Rattus norvegicus: one gene and its partners. The protein of the gene in region 5 purifies or fractionates together with the protein of the main gene of each other region. This does not show direct contact. Links are inferred from orthologs where the notes say so. Each region holds a gene or a part of one and is shown on either strand. Other genes may lie near its edges.

Region 1 (3,403 bases), on a different chromosome or scaffold from region 5:
GGCGGGGGTAGAGGAAGAAAAGGGATGCAGGGAGAGGGGAGCTCTCTTCAGACCAGGTTTTAGAATGAGAGGACAAGACAACCATGTAAGGTCTTAGGGCAACTAGAGCGGGTGAATTTCTGATATAGGATAGCTGTAAGCTTAGGGTAATAAATTCTATACCCAGAAATTGTGTTATCTGGCAAGTTTTAAAATATTAAAACTGTCTTAAAGCGTTTCTCATCCTCGGGCAAAGGCAGAGTAGTGGCTGGTGACTTGGCGAAGCTAGCTGGGAGGGGTAGGGGACCCAGGGAAGGGCAGGGGACCCATCCCAGTCAGGACACCAGCTGGCTGTTGGCAGAGCTAAGCAGAGAATGTGGCCGGAGCAAAGGAGCCATTGTGTTTTTAAAGTTGCACGGTAGGTATGAGTGTGTGGCCACCACATACGCTCCTGGAAACAGGTGGAACTGTGAGTTTTTTTTCAAGCCAGGGTTTCTCTGTGTGGCTGTCCTGGAACTCACCCTGTAGACCAGGCTGGCCTCAAGCTCAGGGATCTGCTTGTCTCTGCTTCTCAAGTGACTGGATTAAAGGCCTGTGCTACCACCGCATGGAGGAACTGGAATTTCTAACTTTACAAACTGACTTTCTCAGTCTGAAATAAAGTGTTATAACACTACCACCAAAACAGGGAAGGAAGGAAGGGAGGAAGGAAGGAAGGAAGAGAGGAAGGAAGGAGGGGAGGGAGGAAGGGAGGAAGGAAGGGAGGGAGGAAGGAAGGAAGGAAGGGAGGGAGGGAGGAAGGGAGGAAGGGAGGAAGGAAGGGAGGAAGGAAGGAAGGAGGGGAGGGAAGAAGGAAGGGAGGAAGGAAGGAGGGGAGGAAGGGAGGAAGGAAGGAAGGGAGGAAGGAAGGGAGGGAGGAAGGTAGGAAGGAAGGGAGGAAGGAAGGAAGGGAGGGAGGAAGGAGGGGAGGGAGGAAGGGAGGAAGGAAGGGAGGAAGGAAGGAAGGGAGGGAGGAAGGGAGGGAGGGAGGAAGGGAGGGAGGAAGGAAGGGAGGAAGGGAGGGAGGAAGGGAGGAAGGGAGGAAGGAAGGGAGGAAGGGAGGAAGGAAGGGAGGGAGGAAGGGAGGAAGGGCGGAAGGGAGGGAGGGAGGAAGGGAGGAAGGAAGGAAATGTAGTTTGATGTCAAGGTAATACATGATTGGACAATAGAGAGTGGAGCAGGGACAATGTTTTTGTAAGTCGGGAGAGAGGAGGAAGGGGGATCGAGATGGAGTCTTCGGAGGAGGATGGTTCAGATTTAGGTGAATTAGATTGACTTTATCTTGTCTAGGTGGGTGGTTTATATCTTTATCAATTGGCAGTGAATTTTCTGTGTGGATGAATTGTGGATTGAGAATTTAACGTGTAAATCTAATTGCTAAATTACAAGTTTCTGGAACTTTTGATTTTACTGGGCTAAAGAGGACAGTGTGTGAAAGAAACGGCTGAGAGGCAGTTGGAGTGTGTGGATCTGGTTCTGTTGCCCTCAAGGAGCGAGAACCCGCAGGGCCAGCAGATATGTGTGTGTCAGAGTGGTAACTAGCACCTAGGGGACCTCGTGGAGAGGGCGGCTAAAAGGAGACAGCCGGGAGAGGGCGGCCTGCAGACCTCATAGCAGAGTAGCAGCTGGAGCGAGTGGGTCCGGCTTGCGGGAGCAGATAGAAAATGTTCCTTTTTAAATTTTACCACAACAATGAGAGAGAGGGAGGGAGGGAGGGGGAGAGAGAGAGACAGAGACAGAGAGAGAGAGAGAGACAGAGAGACAAGCCAAGTTCGATGGGGCACTCTGGAGGCAGAGCAAATGACTCTGTGAGTTCAAGGCCAGCCTGGTCTGTACAGAGAGTTCCAGTCCAGCCAGGAATATACAGTGGGACTGTGCTGTCCTACAACACCAAAGCAGCCTGAAGGTGCAAATCGAAGCTCTGACTACTCTGTCACTGCTGTCTGTCCTGACGCACTCCCTCTTTGTTCCATTTGACCTGGATACAGTGTTTTCCTAACAAAACAAAAGCAGTGAATGTGCTCCCTGGAAGCCCCATCCACCCTGTCCCCATTTCCAGAACAGAACAAAGAAATTCAGAGAGGAGAGGCCTGTGCGGCTCAGGCAGGCAGCGGGAGCAGGAGGAAGGGCAAGGTGCACAGAGGCCCTGGACAGACATCGATGGAGGTGATGTCAGAACCACAGACAAGCCAGCAGCTGGAAAGAGCTGGGATAAGAGAATGCTGTGGGCCTTACTTTTCCCTTTTATCACTTTCTGAGCTCGGAATCTGAGGAGGGCATCTAGGAACCAAATGCTCCGGGCTTGCCGGTTTCGCTGCACCTCGTCTGCTGGCAAAGACTTCAGCATTTCTATGATGAAGGAGCAGTGGCTAAAACAAGAAAGGGTCACAGCAGCACATGAGGGGAAGCAGGCTCTCAGGAGCCACACCCCCTCCCCAGCACACCGTCCATACACCCAGAGCAAGACGGCTAAGGAGGCCCGCCCTTCAGGGTGCACCAGGTTTGACTGACAGACTCCATCGCACTGAATAAGGTAGACAGCAATAGTGGATGACTCCTATAATCAAACTCCACGTGCACCCACACGCAAACACATACACCACGCACACACAAACACATAGGCATTCATACACACTCAGACACACACACGCACAATCAAATTTTTAAAGAGTAGGGGAGAGATGGCTTACTAGAGTATTGCTGCTCTTGCAGAGAACTCCAGTTTGTTTTCTACCACTCCCCTGGGCCATTCCCAACAGCCTGTAACTACAGATCTAGAGGATCCCATGACACCCATGTCATAGGCACACATACACACATACAAAATCTTAGAAAAGAAAGGAATAGTTAGAAGAAAAGGCTCAGAACTAAGAAATAATCTGACTATCATTTAAAAAAAAGTTGTTTTAATGGCAAAAGAGAAGAGGGATGGATAATCTCTGTTATTTAAAATAAATAATGTTTAGAATCCGTATTTAATTTTAGTTAAGTCTGTCAGCATGCTGTCACAGAGAAGCCTTGCTTTGGGCTCCCAAGCTGGCCTTTGGGCACTGACAGTGACACTCTGCTTCAACAAACAGTAGAGGCGGGGCAAGCTTTGGTCCCCGGCCCCAGACTACAGCACCTTACTATCATCTCCCAGCTACAGGCTCTACACACATGACCACTCCTCTTCCTTGAATCCACCCACAGCTCCTGGAAGCCTAGCATCGAAGCTTGCTCCTTCCTTCATTCCAGGCTGCGCAGACGCCACCCATGCTTCACGGGGCTGCTTTCTATCTGACTGGTTTTTCCCATGACTCACTGAAACCCCATCTACCCACGAGTACCTGTTCTCTTCCACCATCTTCAGTATGTCTTCAGACATGACCTTTCTGAAGGCTTC
Region 2 (3,765 bases), on a different chromosome or scaffold from region 5:
AAGGAAGGGAGGGAGGAGGAAGTAAGGAAGGAAGGAAGGAAGGGAGGGAGGGAGGAAGGGAGGAGGAAGGAAGGAAGGAAGGAAGGGAGGGAGGGAGGAAGGGAGGAAGGAAGGAAGGAAGGAAGGAAGGAAGGAAGGGAGGAGGAAGGAAGGGAGGGAGGGAGGAGGAAGGAAGGAAGGGAGGAGGAAGGAAGGGAGGGAGGGAGGAAGGAAGGGAGGGAGGGAGGAAGGAAGGGAGGAAGGGAGGAAGGAAGGGAGGGAGGGAGGAAGGAAGGGAGGAAGGGAGGGAAGAGGAAGGAAGGAAGGGAGGGAGGAGGAGGTAAGGGAGGAAGGGAGGAGGAGGTAAGGAAGGGAGGGAGGAAGGGAGGGAGGGAGGAGGAAGGGAGGGAGGGAGGAGGAAGGAAGGAAGGAAGGGAGGGAGGGAGGAGGAAGGAAGGGAGGAAGGGAGGGAGGAGGAAGGAAGGATGGATGGATGAAAGAAAATATGTAGCTACTGGAAACCTAAGTGGGGCTTGGGGTATAGCTGTGTACGACGACCTGGTTCAATTGCTGGCAGTGTTTAAAAGGAAAAAAGAAAAGAAAAAGAAAAATGTGATTGAAAAAGGTTCAAGATACATTGTGAGAGAAAAATTGGGGAATCATGTAACACAGTATCGTCTTGAACTCCTATTTTTAAACACAGCCAAGGAAAACTTAACTCCTGATCTGCCTGCCTCGACTTCCCAAGTGCCATGATTATAGGCATGCACTACCACGAAGGATTGAAAAAAGGTTTTTTAAAAGATCACTGATCCTTTTTTTTAAGTTGCCAAACACAGTGGGTGAATGAGAGTGCTGAGAAGGATGGTGTCTGTGTTTGTTCAAAGGGACTGCAATGTGTGTTTGAGGACAGTGGCCATTTTGGAGGGGACTAACAGTCATTTGCTATTCTTCCTATATATGTGTATATACTTGAGGAATTTTTTTCTGTAATGGACACTGCTTTATTTATTTGTTTGTTTGTTTTGAGACAGGATCTCTTTAATAAGATTTAATAATAATCTTATAATTTTAATAATAATCTAATAAGATTTAATCCTGGAAATCACAGTGTAGACCAGGATGGCCTTGAACCCACAGAGATCTGTGTCTGAGTGCTGGGATTAAAGACATGCACCACCACTGGCTTCTTTTTGTTTCTTGAGATGAGGTCTCAACGTACATCCCATAATGCCTTCAAACTTTACCTCTGACTCAGACTTCTGGTTGCTAGAATTATATGTGCAAACCACTAATCCCACCTAATGTACTCCTTTTCAAGTTATGAAAATCCTTTAGACCTTTCAGCAGTCAAGGAAACAAGACAAGCTAAGAGTACAGACATAAGAAAAAAATCAAAGCACTTACGGTTGTCGTAAATCGGGTTGGAAACAATGGGAGGCAGCGCGGTTGTGAAGTTACCATGTTCATCAGGAAGGAAAACTTGGAAGCACAGCCTCACCACATTGAGGTCGCAGTCTTCAATGTCCAGCAGCTGCTGTTCAGGGACTGAATGGTACAATCTCAGGCTTAGAGCGGAGAACACATAACACTAATACTTACATAAGACCAAAATCCTGCTGTCTTTCTCTCTCCCCAACACCCAATAAGCTCAGTCTGCACCTCTGTCTGCAGAGAACTAGGATGGTGTACCGTCTCAAGATTAGCTTTCCTTACAGCTCATTGTGCACTCACTATTTAACCGCCTATGGTAAATTGTAGCCATGCTCAGGGAGAGACCACACCAGAGACCAGAGACTTAAGGTCAGAACCATAAACTGACCACCATAAAGCAAAAATCTTAAATGTGGACACAATTCATAGGTGGTGGCAAATAGGCACTCTTCATTTAACACAGTACTTCGCCCAGTCTGTAATTATCTTCTAATCTAGCAGAAACCGTCATCGTCCGTGTTCTTATAGGTGAGACACGGATTTTAAGGAGATGACGTTATTTGTCCCAAATTTTACAGCTAAATAATAGTGTGGGAATTTGAACCAGAGGGGCCATATTAACTATGCCCCGGCATTTTAGAGATGCAACGAGAAAAAGATACCGGTGATCTAACTTAATGTGTAAATCAAGTCAGCTTAAAAACGAACTGCACATCGGGGCACTTTTACGGTCCTGAAAAAATATAAAACCTTGCCACAGAATATTGCAGGTGAATAGCCTCTTTGCACTGATATTTGAAAAGAAGTCCATTTCTAAAACAAAATATTGCTGCCTTTTGAAATATTCTAGGCCTGTAGCAATACATTATTACTAATATATGTCATATTTTAAAAGCACGAAATTCATTAAATTACATGAAAAATTTACTTGGAAGGGATGCAGCTATCAAAATTAAAAGATTAAATTTGAAAAATAACTAGCTAAATTCCCCAGTCTTACAGGTGATGAGTAATTTAAAAAAAAAAAAAGTATCTCACACAATGTCAGTCAAACAGTCTCAGGAGTTATCCTAACACTGAGATTTCTTCCAGTGTCAGTGTTCTTAGGCCTAACATTTGGGTCTATGAAAACATACCCGTACAACTAGAAAGGTCAAAATGGGGCTGAGAGAAATAATTCAGTGGATAAAGTAATTTCCTTGTAAGTACAAGCTCAGCCCTCCAAATCCATGCGATAAAGCCAGGTGCAGTAGTAAGGCTCCTGGGTAATAATTCCAGGCTGGGAAGGCAGAAGCAGGACTATTGGTCAAGCTCTAGGCTAGTGAGAAACACAGACAGGCAGACAGGCAGACAGGCAGACAGACAGACAGACAAAATCAATGAATGGCTAGGTGCTCCTGAGTTTACAAATAAATTTATGTTAATAGAGACAAACTGTGTATAGTCATAGAATGGACTAACACCCAGCAGTAAAGAACAAACTGTGGCTATACACTCCAACAATACACACTGCAAAAACAGTAAGACCAAATGGACCCAGACAGGGAAACATATAGACTAGAAAAGAATATACTTCCAACTCTATAAAACCCTAGAAAAGTTAGGTGTGCTGGCGGAAAGGAATGGAGCTGTTGACTGGGGCAGGACATGAAGGAGAGAGCTGACTAAGAAAGATCAAAGCCATTTTGTGGGTGGGGAAATGTTTCTTTGCCTTGAGGTTACATGAGAGGCTGTATCTGGGTGCAGGTATTTGCCAATGAGAGTTTAAAGAATTAAAGTGATATATAAACGAAAAATAAAATGGCTAATAACCTAAAATATAAATATAGTTAGCCACACAATGATTCTATCAAAGGCAAGAAATTCTATTTTCACAAAGGATTATCATTTGGGGAATTTTGTTTTGCTCTTTCTCTATGTAGAGAGACCGTTTCACTGCATCAGTATCATTCCCGTCTCTGTACAACATGGTTAAAAATCACTGATGACCAGGGACCACAGGCGAGCCCTGGACTCAGTACAGGGTGAAAGCTCGACTGAGAACTGCCTGGTCTGTGCACACGCATGTACAGATAAGTCATGTGGAGGGCAGAGATCAGGACGACCGCCCTCCACTGTATTTTGAGACAGGGTCAATCGCTGAACGTTGACAGCCCCAGAAATCCACCGGGAGCCACCTCCCTTGTGTTGGGAATGCCTAGCTCTTTCCAAATGGATGCTAGAATTGAACTCAGGTCTCACGCTTATGTCACAGGCTCTGTACTTACTTAGTCATACTCCCTACCCTGAGCTAATTTTCTACAAAGTCTGAGCCTCATCCTGGAATAGAAGAAATATCCCTTCTCTCTCAAC
Region 3 (3,765 bases), on a different chromosome or scaffold from region 5:
CAGTGCTGTTTCCTGTTTTCTGTGTAAGATACCGTGCTGAGCATGGCTTTCCTTTATTCCAGATAACATGTAAACGCTTCAAACTGTATGTCAGAGAGTGTGGTGTTAAGTGCTGGCTGGTCCTCCAGAGAAATTTATCATTCATCTTTCCACTGAAAATGAACGTGCTGACCATTTTTTCCACTAAAGTATCAGTATATTACTGTACTGGGTTTTCCTCACCAGGGGTCATCCTATGTTACTGTAGGTCTGAATCTTGGTGTGATGGCTTACCATCAGCTTTTCCCTTCTCTGGCAGGAGAGGGCCTGCTCCGCATTAAAGTCATCCAGGCTGCCAGTCTGGGCACTGCCTGGGTTGCCACAGTGAAACTGAACTGTCCGTTTCCCACAGTGTACCCTGCTAACTCTGGCGGAGCCTGTGTAGGCCAGCGCCTCCCCACACCAAGGCCTGCCTCCCCTGAGTGGGTCACCATAGTGTTAAAAATCTCCCTGATGTTCCCTTTGTCTCATTGCTGGTTCAGGGTATGGCTTCCCGCACTATGGATTTCCTGCTTACGGTGGGATTGCATTCCATCCCGGAGCCACTAAATCCAACACAGGCATCACCCATGGTAAGTCAGAGCTGAGTACCAAGAACACTGCGTGGGCATCAGGATGGTCCTTAAAAGCTTGAGGAAATAACTTTCCAGTAAATCCGTACTTGACGTTATTCTAGGACAGCATAAGGAACACTCCTGACACATATCTGCTCATCACACTGTATTTATGGAAGCAGAACAGAGGCTTTAGACAGAAGATACAGACTTGGCTATGCAAACGTGGAAATGCCACCTTCATGCCTGTCCCTTCACCTCACATCCCACCCTCTTGAAATCAGTTTTTGTTGTGTGGAGTCGGGCTGTTTCCACTCTCAGGCATCCTCTGAGTAGCTGTGGTTACAGGCTGCTCATGGCTTCTATAAACCATTCTTTGGTACCATGGAAATCATTCTATAAAGTCTCTTCATACATAGCGCCTATTCATGCCAGATGCACACATCACTGTAATCTTTTTTTAAAGATCTTAACTGACATTATAGTTTTATCCTATAATCAGGTCACCATTCGTCCCATAAAACAGAATTCCCATTACCCACAACCTCATGACCCCTGTGCATGGCGAACACTAAGCCCAGCCCCTTCTCGACAGAGGTGAGCTTCAGAAACTCTCGGAAGACACAGCAGCAGGATCAGGTTCTGTACCAGGTCTGCCCGGGAGTCTGACCTGTCGCACTGTCACATAACATGGTTCCGACAGCAACCATATTCAGACATGGCACACAAGAAGGGGCCACACGGAAGGGGAATGAGCTCTGCACAGCTCCCTTCCCTCGTTACTCAGCGTTAGGAAAGAAAATAACCTTACACTCCAACCGGCTCTCAGCGTGCAGAACTTTCTCTCACGTTTCTTCTTCACAGGTAACCGAACTGAGATTCATTTCTTGTTTCTCTCTGGTTTTGTTTGAGAGAGAATGTCACTGTGTGACCTTGACCTTGTGGGACATTTTGGGTGGGACTCGCCAAATCTGGCTTCAGAAATAAGATGTGAGTGTTGGAAAGACAAGCTTTTGAATTGTTTCTGAATGTTTGAACTATGTCTGAAACAGCCCAGGTGTTACGGCGCACATCTTTGCACTTGGCAGGCAGAGCCAGGCCAACTGCTTGTGAGTTCAAGGCCAGCCAAAGCTACACAGCAAAGCCCTGTCTGAAAGAGTAAAGAAATAAGGAAATATAAGATATGTCCAGAACACGTTATTTATGTTATAAATATTTATAGTTTTCCATTTTCAGCCAACATCCCTCCTTCCTGTTTTCCTTCCTTCTGCCCTGTGTCAAGACAGTGAGTTATAGCTCAATTAAAAGATTTTTACTAAGAAAAACACTGATGTTTTTGCACTTTTTCCTAGGCACCATAAACACCAAATTTAAAAACGAGCCTAGAGATTGTGCCAAGAGTGACGACAGGGAGATTCTGAATCCCCCTGAGAAAGAAACACAAGGTGAGGGGCCCAGCCTGTTCATGGCCAGCACCAAGACCGAAGCAATTGCCCCGGCATCCACCATGGAAGACAAGGAAGAGGATGTGGGGTTTCAGGGTAGGTGAACGTGCCCACGAGGGTTTCCAGGGACAGCTGGGGAGGGTGCAATTCTAGGTACAGGAAGCTGTCTCCAGAAGACAGGTTTCCTTCCTGCTGATCTAAAGCTGATGGGTCAGCATCTCGTTTGAGTGCTCTGTGCGGTGCCCTGGGCCTTGCAAGAGAGGCGTCTTGTAGAACCATTCACCTTTGCAGCATCAGATCTGACTATAAAATGCAGAAACTTGCACGTACATTGTCCAGTCATATGCAGTTCTGGGTATGAGAAGAGGCAACTCACGTTGTCCCTGGCCCAGGTCACAAGGAAGTTTCCATGTCCTTCACGTGCCTCCCAGCAGCCAGCTCAGCTGCCTCCTTGAAGATGTTTGCCCGAAAATGGGACTTTTCCTTCTTTTCTTTTGCCCTCCTTGAAGAAGCAGAATGAAAAGGAAATGCTTCCTGAGAGCAGGTCTCATTAGCATATGAGTCATAATTCTAGGTCAGAAGCGGTCTGTGAAGAGATAGTAACTATTTAGACATGGTGACCATACATAGTAACTGTTTAGACATGGATGGTGACCATACATGGTTACTGTCTTGCACTGTCCTTTTATTCTGTTTCTTAAATACCTCCCTTGACATGCACAGTATATGTCTACCAAGCCATATCAAAACAGGCTAGATCGTCCATTTGTGCTGAGGTCCCAGTTTGCCATCCCTTGACCTTAAGGCAATAAATTTTCCAAAAATGCTAGGGCTTTCTTTCTGAGTCTGCCTGGGACTGGAAGGGCATGTTCCTTCACTTTAGCTCAGACTGGATTCCAGAAGAGAATTTGTTTACAAAAATGATTGTTTATTCAAAATTATGCCAAAGTCCGAGTACCCTGAGATTGGTTGCTCCCCTTAAATCACTGACGCTGATTGTTCTTCTTAAAATAGCAGTTATATCTAGGTGGCTCCTCTCGGCCCACAGACACTTTAAAATCAAACTCTTAACTGTATCGTCTGTCAGTGAGACAATGCCCAACTGTGCCTTTCTCTAGTCAACACAACCCAGAAGCGCCAAAAGGAGCTTTTTTCAGCTACACACGTAGGGCGAGCAAGTGAGACTTAGCTGTGGTTGTGGACATTGCCTTGCAGATAACCTCTTTCTTGAGAAGGCGCTGCAGCTCGCCAAGCGGCATGCCAACGCCCTCTTCGACTACGCGGTTACGGGAGATGTGAAGATGCTGCTGGCGGTACAGCGCCATCTCACCGCGGTGCAGGATGAGAACGGGGACAGGTGAGTGGAGTGGGGACGGCTGCACAGCAAATGCTGTCTCACACAGCAAATGATAGGGATAAGCAAGGATGCTGCTGGTGCAAGCCGCCTACAGAGGGAACACTCTGGGGCTGTAGTCAAAACAGAGCTCTGCCCTCATCAGACAAGGCCTCCAGTGTGCTGCCTCCCTGGGCGAGAAGACTCAAGTGTGTGAGCATGTTAATTTTAAACCCTTGCCTTGTGTGTAAAATAATGTTGAGAAAACTATTGACAGTCCCATCAAGTCCCTGAAGCGTTATTGTCACAGTGTACCCAAGGGAGAGCCTGGTAAAGACATTAGTACAGTAACTAAGAGGCAATGCCTTTCTTCCCTAGCTCCTGGCTGCTTCTC
Region 4 (3,765 bases), on a different chromosome or scaffold from region 5:
CTTTGTCTATGGCTGTGCTCCTGGCTGCACTCTTAGAGGCCCACCTGGCTGACTCATGGCAGCCAACTTTCAACTTGTTGAACTCGCGCTGCAGCTGCTCCAACTGCTCCTGCAAAAGCTCCTTCCTCTCCACCAGTTTCTCCCGGGCATGCCTCTCAGCTTGGAAGTCAGCCTTGTAGATGTCCGCCTGGCAAACAGAACAGAGGTGTTCACCCACCATCCATCAGCTTCCCAACAAGCATTCTATGCCATGTCCAGAGGAACAGAGTCCTGTCTTCTGGGATCCCATGATAGTACATCAGAAGCACACGTGAAAGCCTATGATCCCAATAGCACCAAGTCAAGAACAATGCAAAGGGCTCAAGACTAAGAGAGGCCACTACAAATGGTGTCCAAAAGACACATCAAAACTCATTGCCTGGACGAGCAGGTCACTCATGTGATAGGCAGGCTGGAACAGAGCCCTCACCTGGGCTTTCAAGACTGGAACGGTCTCCATGACAATCTTGTGCTGCTCAGCTTCCTCTTTCAGCTTATCAATCAATTCCTGTTTGGCTACCAGGGCCTCCTCAGCTTGCTGGAGCTGCTGCCTCAGATCTTCCAGCTGCATGCCCTAGAGAAGACAAAGGGTGCTGGCAGAGTCTCTTGGCCCACAGTGGAACCAAGTTACTTCCCTGGCTGGCCATTGTTTTGAAAACTAAGTAGGAAAAGCTGGAGCAAACCCAGTCATTTGGATTTCAGGGCCAATGACAATTCGGGCAGGGAGAATACTGCATCCTGTGGTGGCCCTACAGAAGAAATGCTGAGGTCTTTCTTAGGATGCACAAAGATCTTAGAACTGATGGGAACTCTGAGAATAAATAAGATACTGCCTGGTACTCTGCATCATTCCTGTCAGAGAATTCCTAGCTAGTCAACCTTCCTCTTGACTCTTCAAGAACAAGAGCTACCCTCGCTCCTGAGGCTTCCAACTCCACAGCAAGTAAGTAACTATGCAGTAACTCTCCATAGACTGCAGGTCCACCATACATCAGGCAAGGGGGCAACCCATGGGTCCTTCCACTCTGCTACTTGGTCAAACACACCTTATACACATGCACTCATGCTCTCAACCAAGAATTCCTTCCAAAAGGGGTGTGTGTGTGTGTGTGTGTGTGTGTGTGTGTGTGTGTACACCCACAGAAGTCAAAGATGCTATCAGATCTGCCAAAGCTAGAGTAGCAAGTAGTTGTTAGCCACCCATTGTGAATACTGAGAACAGAACTTAGGTCCTCTGAAAAAAACAGCAAGTGGTCTTAATCATTGAACAATCTTTCCAATCCCGTAAGCAGCAGTTTTATAACTAATTCTTCATCATGTGACCTGGTATCATGCTTACTTCTTAAAAATCCCCTATGGGTACATTTTGCTTGACAATTCCTTCTTAAAAGATGACCACTAACATTGCATAATTTGTGTTAGCTTTTAAGCTCTTTTCTCAGTTGACTTCCATTATTATTTTAATTTTAGACAAATAAGAAAACATGGGTTTTTAAATTAATATGAGTTAGCTCATTTCATAAGGGATATTATATAGGTAGAGGTCTTCATGTTTTGATTGTTTAAGCCCTCCCTTATTGTATTTGCTAGAAATAATAGTGTTCAAGTATTTTTTAATCTACTTGAATAACACTATTTATAGTCTTTGAAAAGTTGTTCATACCCATATGTGGGAGGGGGTGGGGATGGGGGTTTATGGACAGGAAACCAGCAAAGGGAATACCATTTGAAATGTAAGTAAAGAAATATATCTAATAAAAAATAATAATAAATAAAATAAATAAAAAAGAAAAGTTATTCATATACTTTCTGATACTTTCTGAATTAAGGCCATATTTAGGTGCTAGAGAAGCTCACCTTTTATACAGAAGTAAAAAAAAATTCATAGTCATAACTGCAGATGATGTTTACATGGAAATGTAGTAATCATTATGGCATGGAAATATCCAGTTTTTAGCCTAAAATTTTAAATATATGTTTAGGGAGAGGTCAAGTTTTAATGACTATTTTTCCCCAAATAACTGCCTATTTTGCTATAATAAAATAAATACATAAAAATATAAAATTTTGTTTAAACTCTGCAACTTTGAGAACTATTTTTTGCAGTTAAACACATACATACATACACACACATATGAACACACATATCATGGGGTTTAATTTTGCTCTTCTGCCTTTTATTCTAGTTCTCTTCATTTTATTAATTAAAAAACAAACAAATTCCCATTTTCATGAATCCCTCTTTGGACACTTCACTTTGAGTAGCAGCACTATTCTAAAACTGCACAGTTCTTTATGGTAAACAATTTTAAGAAATTTTAGTGAAAGGCAGAAATGCCTTTAGAAATCAGATTCTCTAGTCTGTTAGTATCAGTTGGCTTCCCATTACTCTCTGGAGTTATTTATTCAATGGTGGGGTATTTTGGGTTTGGGTTTTTTTTTTTGTAGTAGTTGTTTTGGTTTGGTTTGGGGGTTTTTGGGTTTTGGTTTTGAAACTACATAAAGCTGGCTGTCCTAGAACTCACTCTGTAAATCAGGCTGACCTCTAACTCAACAAGATCAGCCTGCCTCTGACTCCAGAGTGCTAGGATTAAAGGCATGTGCTACTATGCCCAACACCAATATGTGGGCTTTTGGCAACCTTGTTAAAGTTTCTTTATATGAGTAATGGGTTGTAAAGAATTATTGACAATCCATTCTATTTATGAGAAAGAGGAGAACAGCTAAAAAAACTTTATTGTGAAAAACTGGGACCACTAGAATGTTGGTCATGGTAGCACATACCTGTAATTTCAGCACAAGGAAGATGGAAGTAAAAAGATCAGTAGTTCAAGGCCAGTCTCAGCCACCTCAGAGTTCAAAACATGCCTGGGCTCTACCAAAAAAGAATAGGCTAGGGAGATAGTTCAGTTAGTAAAGTAGTTGTGAGGACCTGAATTCAAACCCCAGAACCTATGTAAGAAAAGGAGCTGGTCATGTATAGCTCCTGAGGAATAACATCAATGATGTCCTCTGACCTCCACCTATGTTTGTGAGTAGACACACAAAGTAATCATTAGACATGATGAGGATAAACTCAAAAAGAGATCAGAATCACCTAAGAAAAGTTTCTGGGAGGGGTAAAAAAGAAGCTGGAAGGATGGCTCGGAAGTTAAGAACACTTGTTCTTGGAGAAGACCCAGATTCAGTCACAGGCAGCTCAGAACCATTCATAACTCCAGTTCCAGCAGATCCATCACTCTTTTCTATCTTCGACATGTATCAAGCACACACATAGTGTACATACATATATGCAGGCAAAATATTTTTTACATAAATATAAATAAATATAAAAATGTTTTTAGAAAAAACAAAATGTTTGTAGACTTCCCAACTCTGATCATGAAGGAATGGCCATGCAGAACAACATCCCTGCCACAGACTATATCTAAAGGTCCTAGACCCAGATACCTTATACATCTATAAGGTGGATATGTCCCATCTCCTTGTGGTTATCCGAAAACTGTCATAGCTATAGCCCCACTGAAGTGTCAGGCAACTTAAGAGTCCCTTCCAAAAGCTAGATGTGCTATTTCTCAAAACTCACACTGCCCACCCTTTTCAAGTACACTGGGGAAGAAGGGGAAAACCTCTCCCTGGACAGCCCAGAAAAAACATACTTACTAGCTTATGTTCTCCACTCACCTTGCTGCTCTTAATGTGGCTGTCATAGTCTTGGAAGAGTTG
Region 5 (4,364 bases):
TAAACCTTTAAAAACAAAAAAACCACTTGTTGCTCTTGCAGAGGACCCAGACTTGATTTCCAGCACCTACATTGTGGCTCACAGCCATCCCTACCTCCAGTTCCAGGGGCTCCAACAAGCACAAACACAGTCCACATACATGTACACAGGTAAAACAGTCATACGCATAAAGTAAATTATTTGGAAGGTAATGGCAAATGTATCTCTGAGTTCAAGGCCAGTTTGGTCTGCAGAAAGAGTTCTGGGACAGTCTGGGCTACACAGAGAAACCCTATCTCAAAACAAAAACAAAAACAAAAAACAACAACAACAAAAAACAAATAAAATAAAATAAACCAAAGACAAGTTTCATAGTGTGGACAGAATTTCTTAAAGGCAACACCTGTCGATAAAAAAAAGCCTATGGCCAATGAGCTGAGGGAGGAAACAGGTGGGACACTGCCAGGAAGAGAGAGAGAATTCTGGGAAATGGTGAGGAAAAAAGGGAGATGCAGGGAGAGGCACTGGAGGGGTCACTGAGACACTGAGAAAGACGACGCTAAGGAAGAGGCAGGCTGGAGACTGCAGGAAAGGTAACCACGTGGAAGACATAGGATAGTTTGAATGCGTTAAATAGGTTATAAGTTAGCCAGGGAATGAGCCAAAGCTTGTAGCCAAGGCATTTATTAATGAATAATTAGTGCCAGAGTCCTTGTTGGGAGCTAAATGGCTGAATCAATTATTTTTATTATTTTTTACAGTAGTGTTCAAGGCTAGCCTGGGCTACATAGTAAGACACTGACGAAAAAGGGGGTGGAGTGGGTGGCTGGGGAACTATTTTGTAAGTAAAGCACAGTGACCTTAGTTCAGAACCCACATAAAAAAAAGCTGGGTGTGGTTGTAAGTATTTATAATCCTAACACTAGGAGATCCCTGGAGTAGAGCACAGAGGCGCACACCTTTGGTCCCAGCACTCAGGACATAGAGGCAGATGGATCTTTATGAGTTTGAGGCCAGTCTGGTCTACATAGTGAGTTCCAGGTCAGCCACCCTGTCTCAAAGAGGAGGAGGAGGGTGGGGAGCAAGAGACAAGGTTCTCTCAGGCCAGCTAGTCTAGCCTATGTGGTTAGTGCGAACACACACACACACACACACACACACACACACACACACACACACACGCACATCCCTGAGCTGGATGTAGTGATACACACTTGGGAGGTGGACACAGGAGAATGAAAAGTTCAAAGCCATCCTCAGCTACAACCTGAAGGCTAGCATGGGCTACACAAGACTGTCAAAAACAAACAAGCAAAACAAAACAAAACAAAACAAAAAAAAAAAAAAAAAGAGGGGGGTTGGGGATTTAGCTCAGTGGTAGAGCGCTTGCCTAGGAAGCGCAAGGCCCTGGGTTCGGTCCCCAGCTCCGAAAAAAAGAACAAAAAAAAAAAAAAAAAGGATAAAGAAATTACAAAAATTAAATAACCAGAGGGAAACAATAAAGGAACAAGGGCCAATAAAGTAGAAAGTGAAAAATTAGAAAATTAAGGAAACTACTCCTGGCTCTTTAAGATGAGTGTTTATTGGGTTCCCCTCATGGGTCAGGCACTGAGTCACTGGGTATACGCAATGAGCACAAAGGACAAGAAAATCCCGGGTACACTCCCTTACACACACTGTCACCACAGCCATCCCTTCTCCCCAGTTTATCTACTAATCAACATTTCCTGCTCCACACCCCCCCCCCAGGCTCCCTCTCCTCCTTTTCCTTATCCCTCCTTTTTGATACCGGTCTTCCCAGGCTCTCCTCAGACTAGCAATCCTCCTGCCTCAGCCCCTTAAGAGCTGGGATGACAAGTGTGTACCACCACATTCAGCTAAACTAAAACCAGGGATTGAAAGGTGGTAGTTAGGGAGAGACGTTTGGCTAACAGATGAATCCATCTTCATAGAATCGAGCTTCTAAATTTTATGTAGCTCTGGCTGGCCGGCATCTCAATCAGGTGGCCCCAAACTCACAGAGATCAACCTGCCTTTGCCTCCCAACTTCTGTGAGGCCCATGACACCCAGTAGCTCGGTTTCTCAATTGCAGGGTCAGTGCTGGATGTGTCAGCGTCGTAGACTCAGGGTCAAGAATTAATTTTGGAAATCAAAATCTGGCTTATACAAGAATAGCCAAAGACCAAAGACCACATCTGGAAGCAAGAGGTCAGAAGATGTGGGAACTAGAGTGGTCAGAAAGGTTCAGACCCGATTTGGGGATCGTAAGCTCAAATTTAAGAGTTCAGAAAAGTTGAGACACTTGACTGTGAGTGAAAACGGACTAGTCTCACAATTTAGTGATTGGTGGTTATGGGTCAGGAAGTCCAGCATCAGAAATCAGAGTTAGGAACGAGAAGATAAGAAGCCACAGAAATCATAGGCTAATGGAGACTCAGGTAAGATCCCTAGGGTAAATTGGTAATTTAAGGTTTACTCACGTGTCCCCATCCTCAGTGACGTAGCCAAAGACTAAGGGCGCCCAAGACAGCTCTGGGCTAAGCTCTGCGACCAGACCTGGTCCTCCGGGAGCTGCTGCGTCGGGACCTAGAGAGCCCAGGCCACTGTCGCACCATTCATCGGCGTCTGCAGTTTTCCCCAAGCACGCGACCCCGGCCATTGCCCCTGCCACCTCGGGTGGCCCCCTGCGGTCGCCTGCCTGACGCTGGGTTCTGCCGAGAGCTCCAGCGCTTCCGCCCTATTGGGAATTCCCCAACACGCCCCCTCATATACCCAATCAAACTGTGTTAAATAGCCACACCCCGCCTCTGTACTGCACCAGAACCAATCAGAATAATGAGATGGACATTCGCTCGCTGAGTTTCCCCAGATTTTCCAGACGCCCTTTATTAATATGGCCGCCGGCGCCAAGCCTTTTGGGATTTGTAGTTTGATAACGTGAGGGGAGCACCGTATGAAAGCGGTTACGGGACCGCGTTGCCTGTCGGGAGTTGTATTTTTCTATCCTCTCTCGGCTCCTTCTTGTTTCCGCTGCCGTCACGGGACAGAGCAGTCGGTGACAGTCCCGAGAGCCCCCACCCCGTTCCCATGGCCGAGCCGGACCGTGAGTTAGGGGCCCTGGTGGGAGGGTGGGAGGGTCGGGCCGCGCCGGGGCCTGGCTTTGGGCTGCAGGCCCCGGGGCCCGCGGGCAGGTCGGTGGGGTGGGAGACAGAGGCTGCCTGAAGGGAGTGGGATTCGGAGGGCTGTTGCTAAGTGGTCGATATTGCTAGGTTGGTGGGTTTCTGGATTGTGAAATTTAAGGGTCCATTTGCAAAGTTTTGAATGATCGCGTTTCTCGCACTTTGGTTGCTGAGGACCCTCGTTGCTAAGGACCAAAGTTACCACGATCCCGGTTGCTAAGGTTGCCTGTTGTTAAGGGCAACTATAGTATGTTTGGGGACCCCTGCGGCCCCTTTCTATCTCATTCCTTCAGTTCTTGTGCCTCTCCTAAACCTCCCACCTTCACTGCATCTCCTCTCCCACACTCAACTCTCAGCAGAAGTATCCCTACTTAACATCTCTTGAAAAACTTAGCCCTCCCTCATTCTCCTGGCTCGCACTCGCTACCTTATCCTGCTTAACTCTGAAACCTTCCTTCAGTCCCGTTTCACCTGCTTTTTCCTCCCAAACCTTCCCCTCCTCACACATTCCTCCACTCTAAAACATGCCTTTCCCCATCTCCAATAGTTTTACTACCATCCATGACTCCAGGATAATTAGGTTGGTGGGTCCTATTGTCGCCTCCACCACTGTGAACCCTTCATCTGCTTAACTATTTCCCCCCACTGTAACCACGTCTGCTCCCCCTCCTCCCCAGCCTCTGACCCTCTGGAGAACCAGGCAGGGAAGGTGCAGGAGGCTCAGGTGAGATGGGGAAAAGGGTGGAGGGAAGGAGAGAAATGGACGTGGTTCCACATGCCGCACTGGGGGAGGTGCAAGGGAAGGCTTTTACCCAAGGGCCCTTGGCTTATGGCCCTGATCCCTAAACCCATCTGGGGATTAGTACAGCTCCTGGGAGAATGGCGGCTTCTGGGGACTGTCAAGGAAAATGTATAGCCTCAACCCCTGGTTCCCTTCCATATTGTCCTCATCTCCTATTGTTGCCCCGCCTATCCTCAATCCCTTCTGAACCTCATTTGTGCTAGACCTGGAAAAGACAGTGTTCCAGTTTGATCCCCAAACTCAGGGAGTATGGGGTTGGGGAAAGGACCCTCTAGGGCTCATAAAAGTACTGAAGCTGGCTGTGGTGTCAGCTACCTGTAATCCCAGCACAGCTGGGGGCAGTGTTGGGGAAGGGGTAGGAGGATGAAGAAAGGAGAGGCAGCTTGGGCCATATAGTGAGACC

What was found.
Region 1: the proteins of Nfkbib (region 5) and Polr1e purify together in Homo sapiens (affinity purification with mass spectrometry; 3 studies listed by BioGRID and IntAct, counting the BioPlex papers as one, with this or other methods). This does not show direct contact. The link is inferred for Rattus norvegicus from reciprocal best matches to the Homo sapiens genes NFKBIB and POLR1E.
Region 2: the proteins of Nfkbib (region 5) and Rel purify together in Homo sapiens (affinity purification with mass spectrometry; 7 studies listed by BioGRID and IntAct, counting the BioPlex papers as one, with this or other methods). This does not show direct contact. The link is inferred for Rattus norvegicus from reciprocal best matches to the Homo sapiens genes NFKBIB and REL.
Region 3: the proteins of Nfkbib (region 5) and Nfkb1 purify together in Homo sapiens (affinity purification with mass spectrometry; 7 studies listed by BioGRID and IntAct, counting the BioPlex papers as one, with this or other methods). This does not show direct contact. The link is inferred for Rattus norvegicus from reciprocal best matches to the Homo sapiens genes NFKBIB and NFKB1.
Region 4: the proteins of Nfkbib (region 5) and Ikbkg purify together in Homo sapiens (affinity purification with western blotting; 5 studies listed by BioGRID and IntAct, with this or other methods). This does not show direct contact. The link is inferred for Rattus norvegicus from reciprocal best matches to the Homo sapiens genes NFKBIB and IKBKG.

Annotation. Positions count from the first base shown.
Region 1 is NC_086023.1:64,085,078-64,088,480, reverse strand, and holds part of Polr1e (DNA-directed RNA polymerase I subunit RPA49), read right to left. Parts: coding exon 3,348-3,403; intron 2,388-3,347; coding exon 2,254-2,387; intron 1-2,253. UniProt on the Homo sapiens protein: Component of RNA polymerase I (Pol I), a DNA-dependent RNA polymerase which synthesizes ribosomal RNA precursors using the four ribonucleoside triphosphates as substrates.
Region 2 is NC_086032.1:101,901,219-101,904,983, forward strand, and holds part of Rel (proto-oncogene c-Rel), read right to left. Parts: intron 1,528-3,765; coding exon 1,387-1,527; intron 1-1,386. UniProt on the Homo sapiens protein: Proto-oncogene that may play a role in differentiation and lymphopoiesis.
Region 3 is NC_086020.1:226,707,743-226,711,507, reverse strand, and holds part of Nfkb1 (nuclear factor NF-kappa-B p105 subunit), read left to right. Parts: intron 1-521; coding exon 522-611; intron 612-1,945; coding exon 1,946-2,134; intron 2,135-3,253; coding exon 3,254-3,395; intron 3,396-3,765.
Region 4 is NC_086039.1:157,382,840-157,386,604, reverse strand, and holds part of Ikbkg (NF-kappa-B essential modulator), read right to left. Parts: coding exon 3,724-3,765; intron 614-3,723; coding exon 470-613; intron 188-469; coding exon 45-187; intron 1-44. UniProt on the Homo sapiens protein: Regulatory subunit of the IKK core complex which phosphorylates inhibitors of NF-kappa-B thus leading to the dissociation of the inhibitor/NF-kappa-B complex and ultimately the degradation of the inhibitor.
Region 5 is NC_086019.1:93,178,490-93,182,853, forward strand, and holds the start of Nfkbib (NF-kappa-B inhibitor beta), read right to left. Parts: upstream 2,899-4,364; 5' UTR 2,640-2,898; coding exon 2,461-2,639; intron 1-2,460. Other genes in the region: Sirt2 (NAD-dependent protein deacetylase sirtuin-2), read left to right, coding at 3,068-3,083, 3,837-3,883. UniProt on the Homo sapiens protein: Inhibits NF-kappa-B by complexing with and trapping it in the cytoplasm.